Drosophila melanogaster: one gene and its partners. The protein of the gene in region 4 interacts with the protein of the main gene of each other region in a pairwise test. Each region holds a gene or a part of one and is shown on either strand. Other genes may lie near its edges.

Region 1 (3,658 bases), on a different chromosome or scaffold from region 4:
TCATTTTACCACCAAACTCCAAGGGACACATTCTCAGGGAGCTTAAGGACTTCGTCGCGGCCTTGGACACCCTGGACTTCGATGATTCATTCGAGCTGAACAGACTGGAGGATGCTCTTGAGGAACTGGAAAGCATCATTTCGATTGCAGGCAGCAAAGAATTCGAATCGGAAGCTGACGAGGTTGTCGTTCAGCTATTCATACAGCACGGAGTTGAGGACCTGGAGCAGATCCTGGAAAGAAACTTGGAAACTACTCTGAAAATCGTAGAGCAGAAGGTGGAGAAATACATGAGCACATGGTCCGACAGTCGGTTGGCCAGGAACGCGGCGATGGTCAAGCAGTTTAATGACTTTAAGAACGAAAAGGATGTCTATGAGAAGCTGGACAAGTTAACCAACTCTGATTTCATTTGAATAAACATATCATGTTTCAAGTACATTTAAGTTTAAACCAAATAACTACAGATACATAGTCCGAACGTATATATTATTTCCAGAAACTGCCTTGCAAATATCAAAACCAGTAGTCCAGAGTTCATGTTTTGTATTAGCACGCTCGCCGGAAGCTAAAATTTGATTACATATTGCAGCTGATTTAACAATCAATGAGCATATAATAAATACGCTAGTAAGTGTTTACTACTTAGTGCAGGTATGACGTAAGAAATGTGGAATTCATTTTACAAAGGTATTGAATACCTTAATATACCTTTTTTAGATTTGTAAGCTGTCAGGTTTCAATAGCTTTGAAAGTTTTACTGACTTTCTATTCAATACAATTGTTATTTAGTCTGATAAATAAACCGTGCGGAAAGTAAAATAACTGATTATTTGTAATGCCAAGAATCTTTACATTACACACAGACAAGTCAGTATAATCTCTAGCAGCCTTAACTAGTTGTTTTTGAGAACTCGGAACTTTCATTCATCAGCTTCTCTTAGGAAAGGTGTTAAAAGTTGCGATAAGATGATCCAAATCCATCCCGCGAGTCGAACACATCCCGCTCGATTTGGGGAGGTCCTCTTCCATCCGATGTGTAGCTATAGGATTCGCTCCGGTAAAAGTTGTTAGAAGAGCCCCCGGAACCAAGGGGACCACTTCTACCAGTCGGAATACTGGAACCACCGGCGATAAGGGGGATAATGGAACCACTGGATGGCATAGGTACCTGGAGAAGGTGTATTAGTTTTTTAGTTAGGAAAACGATTGCACAAGATTACCGGTCGAGATACAAAGGTTCCTAAGTTTTGATTGCGGAATGGGGAGTCAGGAATTGGTCGAATGCCTCTGCCACGGAAATCCGGGGAACTGGGAAAAGGTCTGTTGTCGAAGCCGCTGCCTCTGGGACCCACATTGTAATCGGTTTGGAATGCATTGTCATAGTTGGGTTGCTGAAATAGTTCAATCGTCAATCGGATTGTAATACTATGTGTAACTACTTATAAAAACACTTACACGAATGGGGAAACCGTTGGATCGGGGAGGGATCTGAGGATAAAACGGTCGAGGTTGGAAGGGGATAGGTCGGAGTGGAACGTCCTCCTCTTCGTAGGTGTCGGTCACCTCCTCCACTTCACCGCTAGATCTCTTCAAGGATAATAAATATATATTTATTTCCATTTATATTAAGTGTATTGGATGAGACTCACCTCTAGAAACTCGACATCGTTATTTGCTTCGGCCAGGGCAGAGCTGTTTCCGCCATTTAAGGATGATCTATTAGAAATAGGTTTGTTGCTCGATTTCGGACTCACTGGCTTGAAGAGATGCGTGGGAATGTTGATAGTTTCACGAGGCACCCTTAGCTGTGGATTATGGAATATTGCAAAGAAGATACTATCTAAATTGTTTGCTAGCAAACTTACCTTGGGATCCGGCAGAGTGTGGCATATCTGAAAATATAGAACTCATTGAAGCCTAAATTGTGGAACAAACCGATGAATAGTTACCCCCTGAGCGATGAACAGACAGCCCAGCAAAACGAATTGGAGCGGCAACATCTCGCAGATCTCGACTGACACTCACGTCTCGAACTTCCGACGATCGACAGAACTATGAGTTGACTGGGTGGAATGCGCTGCAATTAAATGCAACCACGATCCCAACCCGTTCGACTGGAAATCACCAAGGTGAGAGCGTCGGGGCCCGGGGTTATCAGCCTGGGGATTACACGATAGGGAAATCAGAAGCCCATAACTCAATCTCATATGCGCAAATCATCAATTATCATTTTCCCGAATCTAGGAGCCTTTAACTTACTTACTAGTTCTTAATGCACCGAAAGAAAACTCCAAGCAGTCCCACATTCAGTGAAGAACCTTGTACTCAGATTTACACGATCGAAAGCATTAAATATTATATGCAAATATTAAAAACTCATGAAAATATAATCTAAAAGTTGTTTATTGTGTTAGGAAGTACATTTCAAGATTGAAATAAAACTAAGATATTATTGACTATCTGGACTCGGAGATTTTTCACAGTATTTATCGGAGAGTGTTAGTAGAGTCCGTAGCCGTAGGGCGAACCATATCCGCCTCCTGGACGCGGAAAGCTGGGCACAGAGATCACTGGTCTTCGGGGAATCAAATAGACCTGCGGGTAGCTAAATCCTGGTGGCTTCAGAGCCACATCCTCGTCCTTATCCTTTTCACCAGACTTGTCCTTGGGCTTATCTTCGCCGGAGTCTTCTTCGTGATCGTGATTGTGGTTGTGGGGGTATCCGAAACCGGGACTGGGAGGTCCGTATCCTGGGAAGCTGGGCCAGTTACGAGGCTGAGGGAACACCTGGGGTTGGTAGGGCGAGTACGGTGATCTGAAGGTCGGATAGGAGGGATATCCAGACAGCTCCGGCGATTCCTTGTCCGCATCTTTGGCAGTGGGCGGTGTGGTCGATGGAGGAGTAAGCTTAGGTCCCGCGGCAGAGAATATCACTCCTGGATGGGGGTAGGGATACTGAATGGGGTAGGGATAGGGGTGAGGATGCGGATAAGAATGGGGATGAAAGTGGGGCTCATGCTTATGGGGCTTTGGCGTTGTGGTGGTGGTCGTCGTAGGGGTCGTGGTTTCCGGTTCCGGAGTGGTGGACTCTGGAAGCGCAGATCCATCATTGTTTTGTTGCAAGCCATCATCCAGTTGACCCAGTCCGTCATCGGGAGCAGCGGTGGCCTCACCCTCCTGCTCTATTGCGGGCTTCGTGGTGGTTTCTGGCTTTGGAGTTGTGGTTTCCGGCTCGGGAGTGGTGGTGGTCACCTTCTTGTGGGGATGATGAGGCTGATATTGGGGGGGCAGGTGGGGCTCCGGCAGATGCGTATCATCGGTAGTCTCCTCTTCGCTGTAAAGCGAGGCATCGATTTGCTTTTTAGCCTCGTCGAGCGACAACTGAGCGTAACTCAGCGCCAGCAGCTAGAATTAAAATGTATGTTAAGTTAATCATAGTTCGAGCCATTTTGTCCTGGCCAAGATCTGGCACCAACCTGGCTAATTAGAAGCAACTTGATGAACATCCCAACCGACTGAGTTCAACTAGCAAGGGCCAAGCGAAAACTGATTGTTCTCTGCCGGCCATAGCTGACTTATATAGCTCCAGAATCGCCCACCATTATGGAAATCGGTAAGCCAACAATTACAGACAGCCCCAGAGCAATCAGCTCTC
Region 2 (4,930 bases), about 11 Mb from region 4:
CACACGTAAATTGCGAGGAGCCAACTGCAAATAATACCGGCATTAAAGTGTTCAATAAAACATGTCAAATTTTAATTGTTTCGCGTGAGCAGTGGCATTTCAATTTTTCATCCTTTATCGCAGCAAATGCGTACGACGAGTGGAAACTGTTGCAATTTTATCGCTCATTTCACTCACTCAAATGGAATGGGAAATGCTGTGGGGGGTTGTTGGGGGGGGGCTTTTATTGTTTCAAGCGGCAAAATGGGGTAGCGGGCTTCTTTATTTTGACGTCGCTTTGCGTTTTTGCCATTTTAAATATTTTTTTAATCACAAGCTCACGCACACACACACATACACACGTACACAGAGAGAGAGGCAGAGTCGTACGTATTCAGTCACTCATACACAAGCTCATACATATGGCAATACCAATATTTCAAGCCAATTTGCTGCAGCTAGCCGCCAGCGGACTGCCAACAAAATAATTCGACAAAATGTGTGCGGCGCGCTTTATGCTTTATTGTTTGGATCGCTTGGGGGCAGTGCAGTGGGGTGGGCGGGCGAAGTGGGGGGTAGGTGTATATGGGTGCAAGGAGTCACATACATCAAGTACATATGTATATACATATATATAGATATATATAGAAAGATATATATTGTAGTAAAAGAGAATCCGCGGATCAGCTCAGAAATCAGCGTCGACATTTATACACTTCCTACGCGCTCGTTTGTAATTATTTGTTGATGGCTTTTTAAAGTAGCCCGCTCGCCACGCCCTCCCGCGGGCATACCGCCCACTCGCCTGCATATTTATTCAACGCTTGTGCATTTGCTTGTCAATCAATATCATACTGAATGCTGAATGGGAAAACACAAACATTTAAATGCCATCGCATATGCTGAGAATTTCCGCAGATTTTTTTACGCCACCCGCGACCGCCAACACCATCAGCATCAGCATCATCATTATTGTGATTTTTTATTATTACTATTATTTATGTGAGCACACACTCATCATCACAAGGCTGGGCAAATGGCAAATGTGTATGATGGGCTTTAAAATATACGAGTATGTATATATGTATATGTGTGGATGGGTGCGCACACATACAAGCGAACATATATTTTTTATTATTAACGATACCCAGCGAGGAAGCAACAAAAACATATATAGCATACCCATATATACACAAGCATATATATGAAAAGGCTCATAAAATTCACAATGTCTGGCCGCGGGGCTTTTACTTAATGATGCCATTTTTGCCGCCGCAGCCTGAAATTCGTGTTAAATTTTTAACGCACGACCGAACTGCAGCGGCAGTGGCAGCAAGCGCGACCACATATCAACCATCACAGCAATTCGGGCATCCATCCGTCCACCCATCCACCCATCCACCTATCAAAATATCCACCCATCCACCCATTCACCCATCAATTCATCCATATGTGGCACAACATTTACATTAACATTTGAATGGTAATCATTTTACAGGCAATGCGTGCCAAAATGAGGTGTTTGTTTAGCTTTTAAAGCTGTGTCCTTTTTATCACTCGCTGTCCTTTAAATTGATTAAATTATCAATAGAAGAATAACCACTGAATATCCTTTTGGTCCTTCATATTATGCCATTTATGCTAAGCTTACGTTTTTGGGAATTTGTTATATTCTAAAGGATTTGGCTTTGATTTAAAAATATGTTTCGATCGAAATGCCATAATGCAGTTGACATTATTTCAATTGTTTCAGTTTGACCCAAAATACTTTTAATGCACCATTTAATTCTAATGCAATACTTAAGTGCCTTAAAGCCCATACAAAAAGGTGGGTATAAAATGCATTAAACAAACTATAATCTGCCCAAAAGGAAAAATAAATATATATGATGGAGTGACTAAATAAAATATGGTTGTTTAACACAGGATTAATATTTATTCATGCAACGTATTTGGTAAATTGTGCTGAATTGTATTTGTTGCTTTATGTTTATTAGTTTGTTTACCAATTTCTTGGGGTCGGTGAAAGCTGGACTCTCGCAAATGAGAGTGCCTTTCAATTGAGGGGGCAAAAGTGGAACGGAAAGGGGCCTCTTCTGGAGTCGATTGCCGACATCCTTTTGTCATTAGCAATGCGTGACATTTGTCATTAACTGCATAATGATTCCTATGCAGTTTGGCCAACTTCTCCAACCAAACCCAACACACACACACACACACAGTCTAGCATATTGTACATAATAAGTGTGTGCGGATGTGAGGCATGTGTGTGTGTGTGTGCATAATTTTAATGATTTACAAACTAAGCCGGCGGCGTTTTTAGCTCGAAAACTGACAGTTGATACCCAGAGACAAGCAGAATGAGGGAAATATAACGCAAAAGAAGATATAGCCGCGAGTTATGAATGGGAGAGGACCAGTTCTTTATTTCCAGCTTCTTGGGGTGGAACGAGCGAACGGAACGGAAAGGATTGCTCGAACATGCAACTAAGATGGCCTAAGGACATTCAGAGGCAGAGGCACTGGCTGAGGCAGTGGCAGAGGTAATGCCGTAGAATGGGCAAAAATATGCAAGTTAAAAATAAGTTAAGTTTGAGTGGCTGGCGGCCCTGACGCAGCGTTTTGCATATAATGAGGGTACCAGCGCCCAGCTTTTTCACACTGCTTGTCACCTGCTGCCGGACTTTGTACATATGTATGTATGTGTATTTTTGTGCATTGGTATGTATGTAGATGAATTTTGGGGGACAAAAAAAAAACTGTGATTCTTTGGCCAGTTAGTTGGTAGCTGGTTGTGGGTAATTATAGGCAAACGGCACCGGCACTCGGTGTTGTTCTTAAATTATATGCCACTCATCTCTGTTTTCTGTTATCCTGCGCTGCAGCTGCCCCGCCCACTAATGTGGACACCCGGCCAGTTGTCCAAACACGTGCCGTGCAACAAGTTACCAGGCTGGGCGAAAACAAACGCAAAAAAGCATGTGGCAATAGCCAGAGACACTGTTATTCACCTGCTGCCGTTGTCGAAGGCAAAAGCAAACACCATCGGCACAAACACACTGAACCACCGTTGAGAAAAGACTGTTTTGGGGGGGCTCGTTGGGGTCTAAGTGCCGAGTGCCGTCGAGCGTGTTGCATGCAACATGGGGCACGACGCCAGCCGCAGCAGCAGCAGCAGCAGCAGCAGCAACATCTGGCGCAGCAGCGACGGCGGCAGCAGCAAAACGGGATGTTATCAGCCGCAACGTAAACACAACCACCACAACTAAGTATCCATATCCGCAGCAGGCGACTTCGATCGCCCGTCCAACTGGCCCGTTCCCTCCAACCCCCTTCCATGCACTGAAAGAAAAAACTATCTAAAAGCGTCTGTTTGTAACTGGCAGTCCATCTTGGACAGCAGTTGGTCTCAACTCTTTCAAATTTGCTCTCAGTGAAATACTTTAATTTCCTATCTAAGCAGCCGACTTTTGTTCCAGTGTGGTTGTTAGCCAAGCTAAGCTCGCGATGCGATGCCAATGTTCGACGCCGGAGCTCCAGCTTCGGTTCACCTTCCTCCTCGCCTTGCCCGCGGGCGTTCGCTTGTAATTATAATATTTCAACCCAAATGTGACCCGGGGCCATGCGCCAATGATGGATTTCAGCTCTCTGGTCCGCTCCGCTCCCCTTTCCCCTTCCTGTACCCAGCATATAATGTGGCATATATATATATATATATATATACATATTTATATATACACCGAAGAAAGACCGACACCCGAGATGCGGAGAGGTGCGTCGTGTGGTTCCGGGGTGGCTGATGTTGCTGCTGTTGCTGTGCAATTTGGTGCCGGCGGGCAAAGCGGATTGGCCTGCGGCCAGACATGTGAATAAAATTACATTCACTATTTTATATGCCACATGGCTTGTTGTATGTATGGCATTTATCGGTGTTTATATGTTTTGCCGGTGCCATGTGGAAAAATCCTATGTAGGTAGAAATAATTGAATTGGCACATCAGCTAAATCACTCTCGTCCATGTTTATATGTGTATGTCTTTATGGGTATGCCGGCCTGGAACCGGAGACGGCGGTCAGGGCAATAACAAGATTAGATCACTGGAAGAAGAGATTGCCCCCGGCCGGCAGGCAATGGAAAAGGGTTGAGCGAAAACTAAGCTGCCACTGACAATCTACAAAGCGAGGTCCGAATGGCTGCTACGAATAGTAAGTCCCCCTTCCGAGTCCATCGTTCGATTTAAGTTTTCCTCGGAACACACAGGCAGGTGAACATTAATCAAGCCAAACAACCAAATAACTTATGGCCCTGGCTAATAGAGACATTCGGCCAACTTCGAGGCCAGAAACAAGTCGGCCGAAGCTCTGGCCGAAACTATAAACCAGTGCTCACTTAGATAAACAAGATATGTGGGAGCAATTAGTGTTTATTAATGGTGATTTTCGAGATATTTGAATTTTTGGAAAATTGCATTTCAAATGGTAGAAAGAAAAGCAATTTGCATGAATACCTAGCATTCAAGACTTTAAATATTTGTATAATACTAATTAGCTATGAAAAACTTGTATATTTTTAACATATCCGATTGATTAAGATATACAACAAGTAAGCCTTTAATTCACTTACAAAGTGTGAGAGAATTCTATGCGGTAAGTGCGGCTTTTAAGTGCCACACAACGGTAAGTAGTAGCCCATAAATGCGTCCACTTTCATGTGTGTGTGCGTGTGTGTGTGTGGCGTGGTAATTAAATTGGCATTAATTAAACTTACGTCGCTTCTGTCGACGGCGCTGCTCAAGTGCCGCTCATTAAGCAATTAAGGGATAATTATCAACGCCGCGCCGTTGCCTTTTTGCAATTTTCATGCGCAAAGTGTTAAAATCACTTAATAGGCGGCCACATCCTGGCCTTCTGCTGTTGTTGTTGTCCTTACTTCCGCCGCCATTCGTGTGCG
Region 3 (6,483 bases), 2.7 Mb from region 4:
TTTCTGACGGTGTATTTCCAGAGTGCGCATTATGACGCATTCGCTCATATTTACTCTTACCTGTTTCGCCTTTCTCTTTCTTCTCTTTCATCTTGTGCGCCGAGTTGACGTCGAAAAACCAGAATCGTTTAAGAAATCTTGTGTTGGCCAATAACGGATAGTTGTGGGAAATGCCAGATTTGTCTAATCGTTAAAACCCGTGTGGGTTCAAGGAGGTTTTCAAGCATATGGGGTTCTTTGCTAAGCTGGGAATACAGCGTTTTTAATTCCGCACATTAAGCCAAGTTTACTATTCTACGTGATACAATATTATTTTGACCTTAAACTCTCGTGCCCGCAAATCGTTTACTTACCATCTTCTAATTGTAATTTCTATGTTAAGGCGGAAGAACTTTGTTCTTTACGATTTTGTTCAAGCGTTTATGGAAATGTTAAAGAGTCTTTGTTTGTCATAGTATAATTACTAACTTATTTTACACGTGGTAGAACCGACGTAATAAGAAACCCAAACCATAACAAATGATTAAATCCAAAGGCGTCATTAAATAAATAAAACATTTATTACACAACGAACTTTAAAAGTGTGTCAATATAATTAGTGCATAAGTATCTTAACTAGTAAATAAACATGTCGGTTAAATATAATGTGTGTAGAGGTAGTTTCACATTTTGCATTTGGCTTAGATGCATTTAATATTGAGTGCGTATATAAATATAGGTAATTAATAATTAAAATGTAGTTTTTCACAATATACAAAGATATGCCTGGAATAATTTATAGGAACAAAAAATTTGTTTATGGGTTTTCATGGCCTAGCTGCTCTCGGATTTTCCAGATTAAATATGTCTTCAGTAAACCAGGCGGATGGCCTGCTGTCCGTGGTAAATATCGCTCCTAACAAGAACTTCATAGTTGCTCAGACGGATCTCTTGGCCACCGAATGGGATCTGGAGGCATCGGTTGTAGGTCTCAATTACACCGGGTGTCAAGCTGCCGCAGTAGTGACCCCGTCCAATGTAGAGTGGTGCTCCGCCAGGTGTCGTTCCGGCCACAACTGCTCCAGGTGGAACGTTTCCGCCGTAGGATGGCACCCAGTGGTATTTGCCCTTGCCCACCAGCATTTGGTACGATGGCTCAATGATTTCACGACCCCCGTGGGCTATGTAGCCACATCCCTGGCTGGGAATGGCCTTGCCAGGAACATGGACACCACGGTAGTAGGCCCGGCAAACCAGCAATTGCTCCATGTTGCTGTCATGACCTCCAATCACGGCATCGGGAGAGTAATAATAGCCCGGTTCGGCTGATACCCAAACGTCATAGTTGTTGCCATAGCCGTAGGCGTCATATGCCGAAGGAGCAGCACACTCGGCCGGAGTGTAGGACGAGCATCCCGCCTCGTAGGGATTATAGGTGGAAGCGGGTGTAAACGATGGTGCCACGGGAACGGATACTGCGGTCACCTCTGCGGGAACAAATGATGGCGGTGGCGCCACCTCAGCTGGAGTGAACGATGGAGGAGGAGGTGGCATGACCAACACACCACCTGCAGGCGGTGGTGGTGGTGGTGGTCGTGGCATGACCAGCACTCCTCCCGCCGGCGGTGGTGGGGTTGGACTCGGCATCACCATCACACCTCCAACGGGTGGCATGGGATCCGGAGTGGGTGTGTAGGCCGGAGGCCTGTCAGGAAATGGCATCGCAGCCAAATCCGGATATGGATATGGTTTGGCCGGCAGTGGCGGCGCCATTGCCGGTGGAGAAGGTGGTGGCGGCGGCGATAGTGGACACTTTTCCGGCTCCTCTAGTGGAGGAGGTGGTGGCGGCAGCTGCCAGCCAGGAACCACTCTGCGCTCCTCCACCAAAATCTCATAGGAATCCAGACGACGTTCGGCACCGCGAAAAGCGATGAACAAAGCTCGATGGACAGAGGAGATTTTGCCGATAATCAGATGACCCTCATAATGACCACGACCAATGTAAACCGGCTGATCCAGCGATGTGCGTCCACAGAGTACAGCATTCTCCGGAATCACATGATCGTAGCACTTGATCCACACCAGATTCTGACCGCACAGCACCTCGAAGATGTCCTTGGGCAGTGCCTCTCCTCGCTGCGAAATGAATCCCAGTTGCTTGCTCGGCACCACCTTGCAGACCAACATATCGCCCTCGTGCTCCGCCCTGCCCACGTATATCATGGCGCCGTCCTCATCGTTGCCGCCCACCACTGCCTCCTCGGGAAGGGAGGAGTAGGCCGAGGATTGAACCCACTTGTAGGCTGAAAGAAAGATGCATTTTGTTATTTGCTTATTCAGAAGTGATTAGTTTATCATAAAGGACTAACCAATAATATGCTATTTCATCTATAGACATGCAAAAAAATGATGTAGTAATTTTAAATTTCTTTAAAAGTAAATAATGTGGAAGAAAGGTAGAATATAAGGAAATGACCTTCATAGCAAGCCACTATCGTAGCTCATAAATTTTGTAAAACCTGTCTAATCCGACAGTCCATTTTGGCCATATCAGTATAATACATTTGCAGGGATAAGTATTTTAAAAATAGAAGGAACACAAAATGCCCACAGATTTCTTCCGGTATTAACAATCAGTTTATTTGGCTGCGATAACAGTTTGATCTAGACTAAATGCATATGGTATCTGTAGTGTTCCGTTCCTTTAGCTTATTGTCTGCAGAGAATCTCGTACGAGTTGATGCGAATCTCCCGACCTCCGTACGGAATATAGAGGCAACGCTGGCTGGCCGAGATCAGACCCGGTGTCAAACTGCCCTGGTAGTGTCCTCGCCCATAGTACAGCAGCTCTCCATTGCGAGCACGACCCGTGGTTACGGCGTTTGGTGGAATGCTGTGGCCGCAATTCATCCATACATATCCGTAGCCAGTGAGCACCTCGTAGCTGGGCTTCTGGAATTCGTATCCGCCGAAGCAAACGTAGGCGGTTCCCTTGCTCGGCACCACCTTGGCAGGCAGCATTTCACCCTCGTGCATTGCCCTTCCGGCGTAAATGGGAGTACGGTCGGAGTCGTGTCCGGCGATCACTGCGCCCGGAGGAGTGTAACTGGGCGAGGCCGGTACCCAGACGTCGTGCTGCTGCTTGATGAGCACCTCGTAGGTGTTGATGCGCACCTCCTGGCCGCCAAATGGAATGTATAGGCAGCCGTGCGATGGATGAACTTTGCCCACAGTCAAGCTTCCGGCATGATGTCCGCGTCCCACATAGAGCGGCTCGCCCGTTCGCGTCGTTCCGCTCCTCACCGCATTCGGTGGCACTCCACCGCTGGAACTGGGCACCCAGGCAAATCCCTGACCCACCAGCACCTCGTAGTGCGTCTTCGTGTGCTCCGCACCACCGTAGGCCACATAGGCGCATCCCTTGCTCGGTACGACCTTGGCGGGAAGATTCTCGCCTTCGTGAAAGGATCGACCCACATAGATGGGCGTGCGGTCCGAGTCATGGCCACCGATAACCGCGTATGGGGGCAGGGGGCTGTATGGAGACGAGTGCACCCAGGTGTTGTCTGCAAGGAGAAAGGCAGTAGGGCGATAAGTTTGATACCACGCGATAAGATAACCTATCTGTACACAGAGCGAAAACCGGAGAGTAAGTTTCGTGTCCTTTCCATTGGAAATATCTTAAAACTCTACTTGATTGATTTAAATCACTGTTATATTAATATTGTCTTGATAGATATTATATATTGTTATTAAAAAAAAAAAGATTAAGATTTACTAACTTCGTACTTTTTCAAAAGGTAAACATTTATCATCCCGAAGCTGCATTATTAAATGGATACGGTTTTGATTAAAAATTAAGTACAATGTACAATATAATGATTCACTCTATACTCATACTCTCATAGCTTTTTCTCCGTGTACATATTTGGCTTGCTGTACGGTTTTGCGGGTTTGGGTGGTTTTGGGTGGCCTAGGTGGTCTGGGGGCGGGGATCAAATGGGATTTGGGGTTTCACAGAGGCGTAGGGGTTTCACCCTGGGCTCACTGCACTCGTCCTACCAACGGTCACAACTCCTCCTGGCTGCACGGCGCCTGGAAAGAGCAAAGAAAGGCGGAGAACTGTAGAAGTCACTCAATGCTCTTTGCTTTTCTTCCGGCTAATGTGCACAGAGAAAAAAATCGCAATACCAACAGAATTGGTCAGCACTTGCGGATTTCTTCGCCCGTAATTGGGAAATTGAATTTAATTAAGCTAATATGCAACAATATATTTTTTGATTTTGATGATCTTGAAGGTAAATTACACTTATTTCATTAGACTTTGGCATTGCAAAATCATTTTTTTTTTTTTGGTTGCACTTATCAGAGGTTACTCATTCTACTTACCCATTGTGCGTTAATTGTTGATAAGTTATTCCTATGAAAAATAGTTTCTTTTATTCACTTGCGTTCTTCTGACTCCAAAATGCGTCTGAACTGACCAAAGTTTGTCTTTTCACTAAACTATTGGTTTGCAAAAGCCTGACGTTTAAAAACCGAACCAGAGCGATTCGTCACTGCTTCTTATCGGCGAGCTTTTATCTTTCAATTCGCATTTGTACATATATAAAAAAAGAAGTGCAGTTGATATTGGGACCTTTGCTATCACTAATTTTAACTTCCAGTCTCGAAAGCTCCATTTCCAGAAAAGCATTCCATTTATCGATCGAAAATGAATCATTGGCCCAAACAGGCGGTACTTTTGGGAGTAAAAGAAAAAAACAAGTAAATCGAAGCATGTGGACATTGTTTTAAATGTTATTGTTGTGCCCTCTCAACAGGTGGAACCCCAATTAAATAGACCCATAAACAATATGACGCCTGCCAGAAGCGCCCATGCTCAAAAAATCCCCCCCGTTGAAGGGGCGATAAGCATGTCGAAAATTTGTACTTTTAATAGAAAAAGGATCATTCATTTTGAATTATTTTTTACCTACTGAAATATTAAAAATAATCTTTAAACCTTTAGTGTAATGTATGTGCTTATTTTATCTCTTTTAATTAATAATTTCTTTGTAATAACAAACAAACTGATTTCAAAGGACATATGTATGTATGCATTTATGTAAGGCATAAAAGGCATTAAAAAGTATAAATATACATATGTGACTCAGCGGTAACGATATCAATAACTTTATATCGCAATTGACTCATCTTTAGACCAAACAAGTGTCTGTAACTTTACAACAGTTACAGTTAGTTTTCCAAAGGTTTCTCAATTATTAGGTTTATGATTTGAATAATCCACAAGAAGGTTAGGTAACTGTTTACATGTTGGTTCTTATTTTTGTTCTAGAAAAGCATTCCTGAACTTATAGTTGATCCATGGACAGCCACCCTCATACATATAATCTTTTACGAACTTATTGATGAAGTTTATTTTTGACTACCGGCGATAAGATTCGTAGCCAACTGCTTATAGATAAAACCCGCAAAAACAAAAACAAATATTCATGCACAAGATCGATTGAGTAATTTTGGTTGCGCTTCCTGTTTAACCCAGAATTTAAATTGTTTTTACCAAACAAAATCATCCAATATACATTCTGACACACCTGTCAGTTGGTCGCAATGACGAACACCCTCTACGACATGAGGATACCTTTGTGGAACACACACAATCGAACGGTTCAGAGCAGTGTGACTAAGATATCTTATCACTGCCGGCTAACTTGCCGAACTGATAAGCGGAAACAACAGCTTTTAAGGCGCAACCGATGTGCGGGTAGCGACCAGTCGTTGAAGTCAGCCCAAACATAGCGGAGCCAGCGAGTATATAACATCACGTTCCAGACCTAAATCAACATACAAAAAAAGCACACAAATACAACATGGGAGGTGAGAACTGAAGTGCAAAGTTAGTGACTAAGATAATTCTGGCGAAAACGAAAGCATAGTGCCGCAATTAGTCGTGACAAGTGGGCAAGTGTCATCGATACTCCGCGCACCTGACAGCCGAAATCCCTTGGAGCTTTGGTAGCTTTCCATAGATCCAGCGATTCTACACCCTGACAAATAAAAGACAAAAAACCTCTACTGTGGCTGATTAATGGTGTACAGTTGGCCCTCGTTGGCCCAAGTTAACTTATCGCCTCTGACCTTGCTCTATATATATATTTTATTCGCCCTCAGACTACACCTGGATTAGCACCAACGTTTACGGATCCCTGCCCCCAGGAGCCATCCTAGCTGGCCACGACTCCGACCAGGATCCCATCTTTGTGGGCCGTGCCTACCACAATGGAGAGATGCTGCCAGCGAAGGTGGTGCCCGGCAAGCAGCAGGCCTATGTGCCATGGGGCGGTCAGGAGATCAGCAAGCATGACTTCGAGGTCCTTGTCGGTGATCACTTCTCCTGGATCCCGTCCAGTGGTGGATCTGTCCCGCCCCATGCCATCCAAGTGGGCCAGACTGGCGAGGGTGAGCCCCTGTACGTGGGCCGTGGTTACTTCCAGGGCAGCC
Region 4 (4,813 bases):
TTTATTGTTTTATCTAAGGGAAGATAAAAACTCTGTAAAGAAATTCCCAAGCGAGAAATGAATCACAGATCTTCTGCCAAGCGCATTTGTCGAATCAAATCTTCATGAAAGGCTTCTTTTGATGACCCCTCTATCCATCTTTAGATATCACAGTTCAATCTTTAGTAATTTCCCAAGAAGTTATCTTGCTAGCTGCATTTGATTCCACAAAAACCACTTTCATTGAAAGCAAAACTTTTCGCACACAACTCACGTTCTTTATCAAAAATGCAAAATTTATCAGCGATAGCCCAGAAAAGATAACTAAAATGTGTGCTGTTCTACAGCAAATTGGGCGAGGCGTAGAAATCAATTTCAAATTTGTTGATATTACGGGGCAAGAAAACTGAAAATAGAAGCCGCTACAATGGATCCACAGATATAGATAGCGGCTACTTGGATGTTCGTCGTACGTCAGTGATTCAGGCAACTTGGTGGGGCCCAAACGAAATCCAAACGGAAACCGAAACCAATTGAGAATACACATTAAGTGAGTGGGTTTCTGAGGAGGGGAAAGCGATCGTTTAGTATTCCCTAATTGGTATACCCGTGTCTGTCACACTGTGCAGAAATTGCATAATGCCCGGGCCAAAACCACCACATCACGTGTCTGGTTCGTCTGGCACCTGACAGACCCGCGAAGATACTTCAGTTCGGATTGGTTCTGGTCGGAGGAAGTTAATGGAGATGATGGGGCTGTGGGCCAGACAGAACAAGAGAAATTGAAAGCCATTAAGTACCTTTAAAAATAAAAGCGGAATACTACTAACCGCATGGCCCACTGGGATGATACATGGGAGAGCTATACATACATATATGCGCGTGGATATATGTTGCTTCAATTATTCAAGAGTACACCGAAAACAGAGACTTGTGACCACAAAAAGCAAAGAAATTACGCACGAAAAATATCTTTAAAATGCCATAAGTTGTATATAGATACACAGCCAGCGCAGACTCATCAGATACACAAGCACACACATCGGCCAGAAGATACATATAAGCAAACTCGAACTGTGGCAAACTATTTCCGTATTGAGTTCTCTTCTTAATGCCCTGCATTGAGCCATTTTGGGTATATTGCACGAAAGTTTTTTAGATCAACCACTTAAAAAATTAAACAATTTAAGTGGTTGGAAAACGGTTTATCTGATTTCATTTGACCTCTAAATTCTTTATTTTCTCTTAATGTCTTACATCTTTCATTCCTGAGCATTTATCAACCGAAATTCAAGACAAAAATGTGTTTGTGACATTTAAAAAAATTTATTTTCGAAAGCATATATTCGTTAGCTTAAATTCCACAAACAAATTATGTACGTGTTCCAAAAACATTTTCTAATATTTATGAATGTGCCGAATATATTTTCGAGCCGTGCGTTTCTTTTCTGCTCATCTCGGATTTTATGAGTTTGTTTGGCTTGTGAAAATTGCATTGACCTAGAAGTCATATTGTTGTTTTTTTTTTCGGTCTCTTTGGTATTTTGATGTCTTTGGAATACCCTGCATTCTGATTCTGATTCTGTTTTGGTTTTGCACATTTCTCTCCCGCTCTCCCGTACGACTTTCTGTTTTCTACGTACATGTATGTATTGTGAACATGAGCATCGTTATGAATTCCCCGATTTTCCTTTTTGTGTGTATATTTTCAAATACTTGCCACTGTGCATCCGAATCGGGCTGTCTGTAAAAATGTGTGTGAGTGGGAGACTGGGGAGCTAGCTCCCGGCTGAGATCGTGGAAAGCCCACGGCCCATTCCTTGTCCGTCGGTCGCCAGCGCCACGAGGAACGGGAAGCGCGATCTTAAAAAATATTTAAAAAACTTTTCACCCCGTGTCCCCGTTGCTCAAATCGAACATACCCCCAAAACGAGAGCGAAAGTTTAGTATTCAAAACGCAATTTAATTTGGCGAAAAAATATCGAGGCAATCGGAGACAAAGGCGCGATCTCGGCGGCGAAAAATAAACCTAAAAACATAACGATTTCGGACGCGTGCCAGGCGGTGGGCGGTGGGCGGGGCGGCGTAGACGCCGGCAGCGGCAGCGACGTCGCTGTTTTATTTTTTTATTTTCTTTTTTTTTTCGATTTTGCCGGCTGTCGTCGCGAGCAGAATGCCGCCGGCTCTCGGTTCTGGTTCTCAGTTCAGTTCTGTTTGAGTTTCTGGCGACGAGTGACACACACAGAGGGAACTAGAAATAAACGACACCGAAAAACGAAACAACACTTAGTTGTACTGTAGATTCTGGCTGATTAAGAAACACGAAACACGAAGTACTCACTTACACACAAAAACACATATATATCTCACACACAAGGAAAACTGCATTAGTTCAGATCGAGCGAAAGTGCCGTAGACGATGCCCAATAACCGCAATCGTAATCGCAATCGCAATCGCAACAAACGCAATCGAAACCAAAATCAAAATCAGAATCCGAGCCAAAACCAAAACGAAAACCATCAGCAGCAGGCAGAAGGGGCGGAGGATCGGGAGGAGCAGCAGGATTTCCAAACTCAGATCGCAGTAGCGCAATCTTCTTCCTTCGTAGATGATAATGGAAATTCTGGCAGCGTTTCAAATGGGCCAACGGAAAACAGCGAAGAGGTGACGAACACTCTTGAGAAAACCGAAAAAAAAGAAGAAATATTCGAGCAACCAGCAACAGTCATCCAAAAAGAAGCAGATTCAGACGCAGAAATGGGTGCCAAAAACTCAAAACATCGCAAGGAAAAGTCCGATAAGCAGGCGTCTAATGGAAAATCTGAAGAGCAGGTGCGTCCACCTCCCACCATTATAAGAAGGCCACCCGGTAGCCCCCGGCAAGCCAAGGTCATAGTTCATCGAATTGTGAGGGAAGAGGACACGGCCAATGGCAAAGCTCAATCTCCAGAGCCACCCAAAGCCGTGGAATCTAAGGAGCAGCACATGGAGGTCGAGGATTCAAAGAAGGAGAAACCTGAAGCTCAGCAGGAGATTGAAACTAAGGAAGAACGGGAAAATGAACCGAGTCCAAAGGAACTTCCTGAATCTAGTCATCTTTCGGAGGACGCACAGCAGAAACATGTCGAAGTTGAAGAGAATCAACAAGTTTATGATGAAGTGGACTACTCAAAGGATGAGACCACTGACAATAATCCACAGCAAGAGCAACACGATTCAAAGGAACCGGAGCAATATGTGTTGCAACTCGAAAAGGCAATGGAATTTGTGGAAAATGCACATCAGCAACACGTTGCTGCCGTGCAAAGTTATCAAAAACAGAGAGACACTGAGCAAAATGCACAGCAGCAGGAGCAAAATGAAGCACAGCACCTACAGGAATCAACTAAAGCGCATCAGCAAAATATTGCAGTTCCACAAATCCTTGTAGATCCGAAGAAGAGAGAAGAGGGCCTCGCACAGCAACTGCATCATGATGTGAAAGAGGAACCCATTTTGAATAACGCCCAACAGCAAAATGATGACACTGCACCGAAATCCCCAAAGGAAGTAACAATAAAAGTTCAGTTTCAAACAGAAGATCCTTATTCCCAGCAGCCTCCTCCACAGAAGCCCACCTCCAAGGTGATTATCCACCAGATACACGTGGAAACCACCGACGAAGAGCAAAATGCCAAGCCCACTTTCGAGGAGGTTAGCAGCACTACCGGTTCTCTGGCCGGAACCCTATCTCCACCACCTCGTTATTTGGTGGAGTCGCCGAAGAACGTGTCAAGTGGCCAGTTTTCGAACTTCTCGCGCAATGTGCAAATCCAGGAAATGGAACTGAACAGCGACTTCAGCTCCGGGGAATTCAATTCCCTGCAGTCGCCGCTGGTATGCGAAGTAGACTCGGAATCAGAGGGATCGGTAGTCTTGGGACCGGAGCGATCGCCGTCGGATCAGCAGGTGCCGTCCAGCAGCCGAGTAGAGCAGCATGAGCAGGTGCGCCAGAAACGTGCCCAGTATCGGAACGCTTTGGAATCGCACTTCATGCCGCAGTTGCTCAATCCCCGCTATCTGGACAGCATCCTGGAGGAGAATGAATGGAGAAACTCCACCGCCTCCTCTGGCGGAAGCGATCAGACGGGGATCCGCACTCCCAAGCTAAACGAGACCTTTCCCAGGAGTCAGTTGGACTTTAGTCGCAGACACAAGCGTAGGGAGGAGGCACCGTCGCCTCTTAAGCTCGAAACCAAGCTGCTGGAGGAGTCAACCGATCTGGAGAGCTGCACCCGACTGCAGAGCGCCCTGTCTCCACAGTCTGAAGATGCGGAGCTAGTTTACCTAAGCTCCTCGGCCTCCAGCAGCGTCTCTGACCTCATGGAACTAGAACTAGAGCAGGCTGCCGCCTTGGCGGAGAGAGCCCTCGTAGACTTGGATACGGATGCCAGTCGGTTGATTGCTCGGCCGGATGATGAGATGAGCAGCACTAGTACCACTACTGCAGACAGGAGCGAGACGGAAGCGGAAACGGAAACGGAGACGGAGAGAGAGGGCGAGCAGAGTCGCGAGAGCACACCTGTTAACGCCAACCCGACGCTCGCCAGTTCGCAGTCTTCGCTGCTGAGCGCCGCAACGCCGACGCCGACGCCGACGCCCACTCCCGCCGATCGAGAACAATTAGCAAAAGATACAAATGTATCTGGTGGATCGACTGTTAGTTTCGGGGCAGCATCGCCGCTAGCGGCCACGCGCGAGGAGTTCGTTCGCAATATGGACAAAGTGCGCGAGTTGATCGAGATGACGCGGCGCGAACAGGAGCAAGGTGAACTACCGCGATCGCCGTCGCCG

The links.
Region 1: the proteins of CAP (region 4) and CG10680 interact in a two-hybrid assay, tested with the Drosophila melanogaster proteins (one large-scale study listed by BioGRID).
Region 2: the proteins of CAP (region 4) and twz interact in a two-hybrid assay, tested with the Drosophila melanogaster proteins (one large-scale study listed by BioGRID).
Region 3: the proteins of CAP (region 4) and CG44251 interact in a two-hybrid assay, tested with the Drosophila melanogaster proteins (one large-scale study listed by BioGRID).

What each region holds. Positions count from the first base shown.
Region 1 is NT_033779.5:19,962,576-19,966,233, reverse strand, and holds CG10680 (uncharacterized protein), read right to left. Parts: upstream 2,099-3,658; 5' UTR 2,004-2,098; coding exon 1,953-2,003; exon of another isoform or gene 1,896-1,952; coding exon 1,869-1,895; intron 1,809-1,868; coding exon 1,653-1,808; intron 1,591-1,652; coding exon 1,459-1,590; intron 1,395-1,458; coding exon 1,224-1,394; intron 1,172-1,223; coding exon 953-1,171; 3' UTR 532-952; downstream 1-531. Other genes in the region: OS9 (Olfactory-specific 9), read left to right, coding at 1-416; CG16772 (uncharacterized protein), read right to left, coding at 2,503-3,408, 3,480-3,509.
Region 2 is NT_033778.4:21,572,992-21,577,921, forward strand, and holds the start of twz (tiwaz), read right to left. Parts: upstream 3,045-4,930; 5' UTR 2,991-3,044; intron 1-2,990. UniProt on the Drosophila melanogaster protein: Functions with the transcription factor TfAP-2 to regulate octopamine neuronal signaling pathways that control behaviors such as male aggression, male mating, and the initiation of feeding.
Region 3 is NT_033778.4:12,947,805-12,954,287, forward strand, and holds CG44251 (uncharacterized protein), read right to left. Parts: upstream 4,490-6,483; 5' UTR 4,373-4,489; coding exon 4,369-4,372; intron 4,075-4,368; coding exon of another isoform or gene 4,042-4,074; intron 3,546-4,041; coding exon of another isoform or gene 2,689-3,545; exon of another isoform or gene 2,600-2,688; intron 2,406-2,599; exon of another isoform or gene 2,349-2,405; intron 2,283-2,348; coding exon 850-2,282; 3' UTR 544-849; downstream 1-543. Other genes in the region: CG44250 (uncharacterized protein), read right to left, coding at 2,689-3,545, 4,042-4,074, 4,369-4,372; CG13321 (uncharacterized protein), read left to right, coding at 5,853-5,859, 6,154-6,483.
Region 4 is NT_033778.4:10,276,943-10,281,755, forward strand, and holds the start of CAP (CAP), read left to right. Parts: upstream 1-1,793; 5' UTR 1,794-2,398; coding exon 2,399-4,813.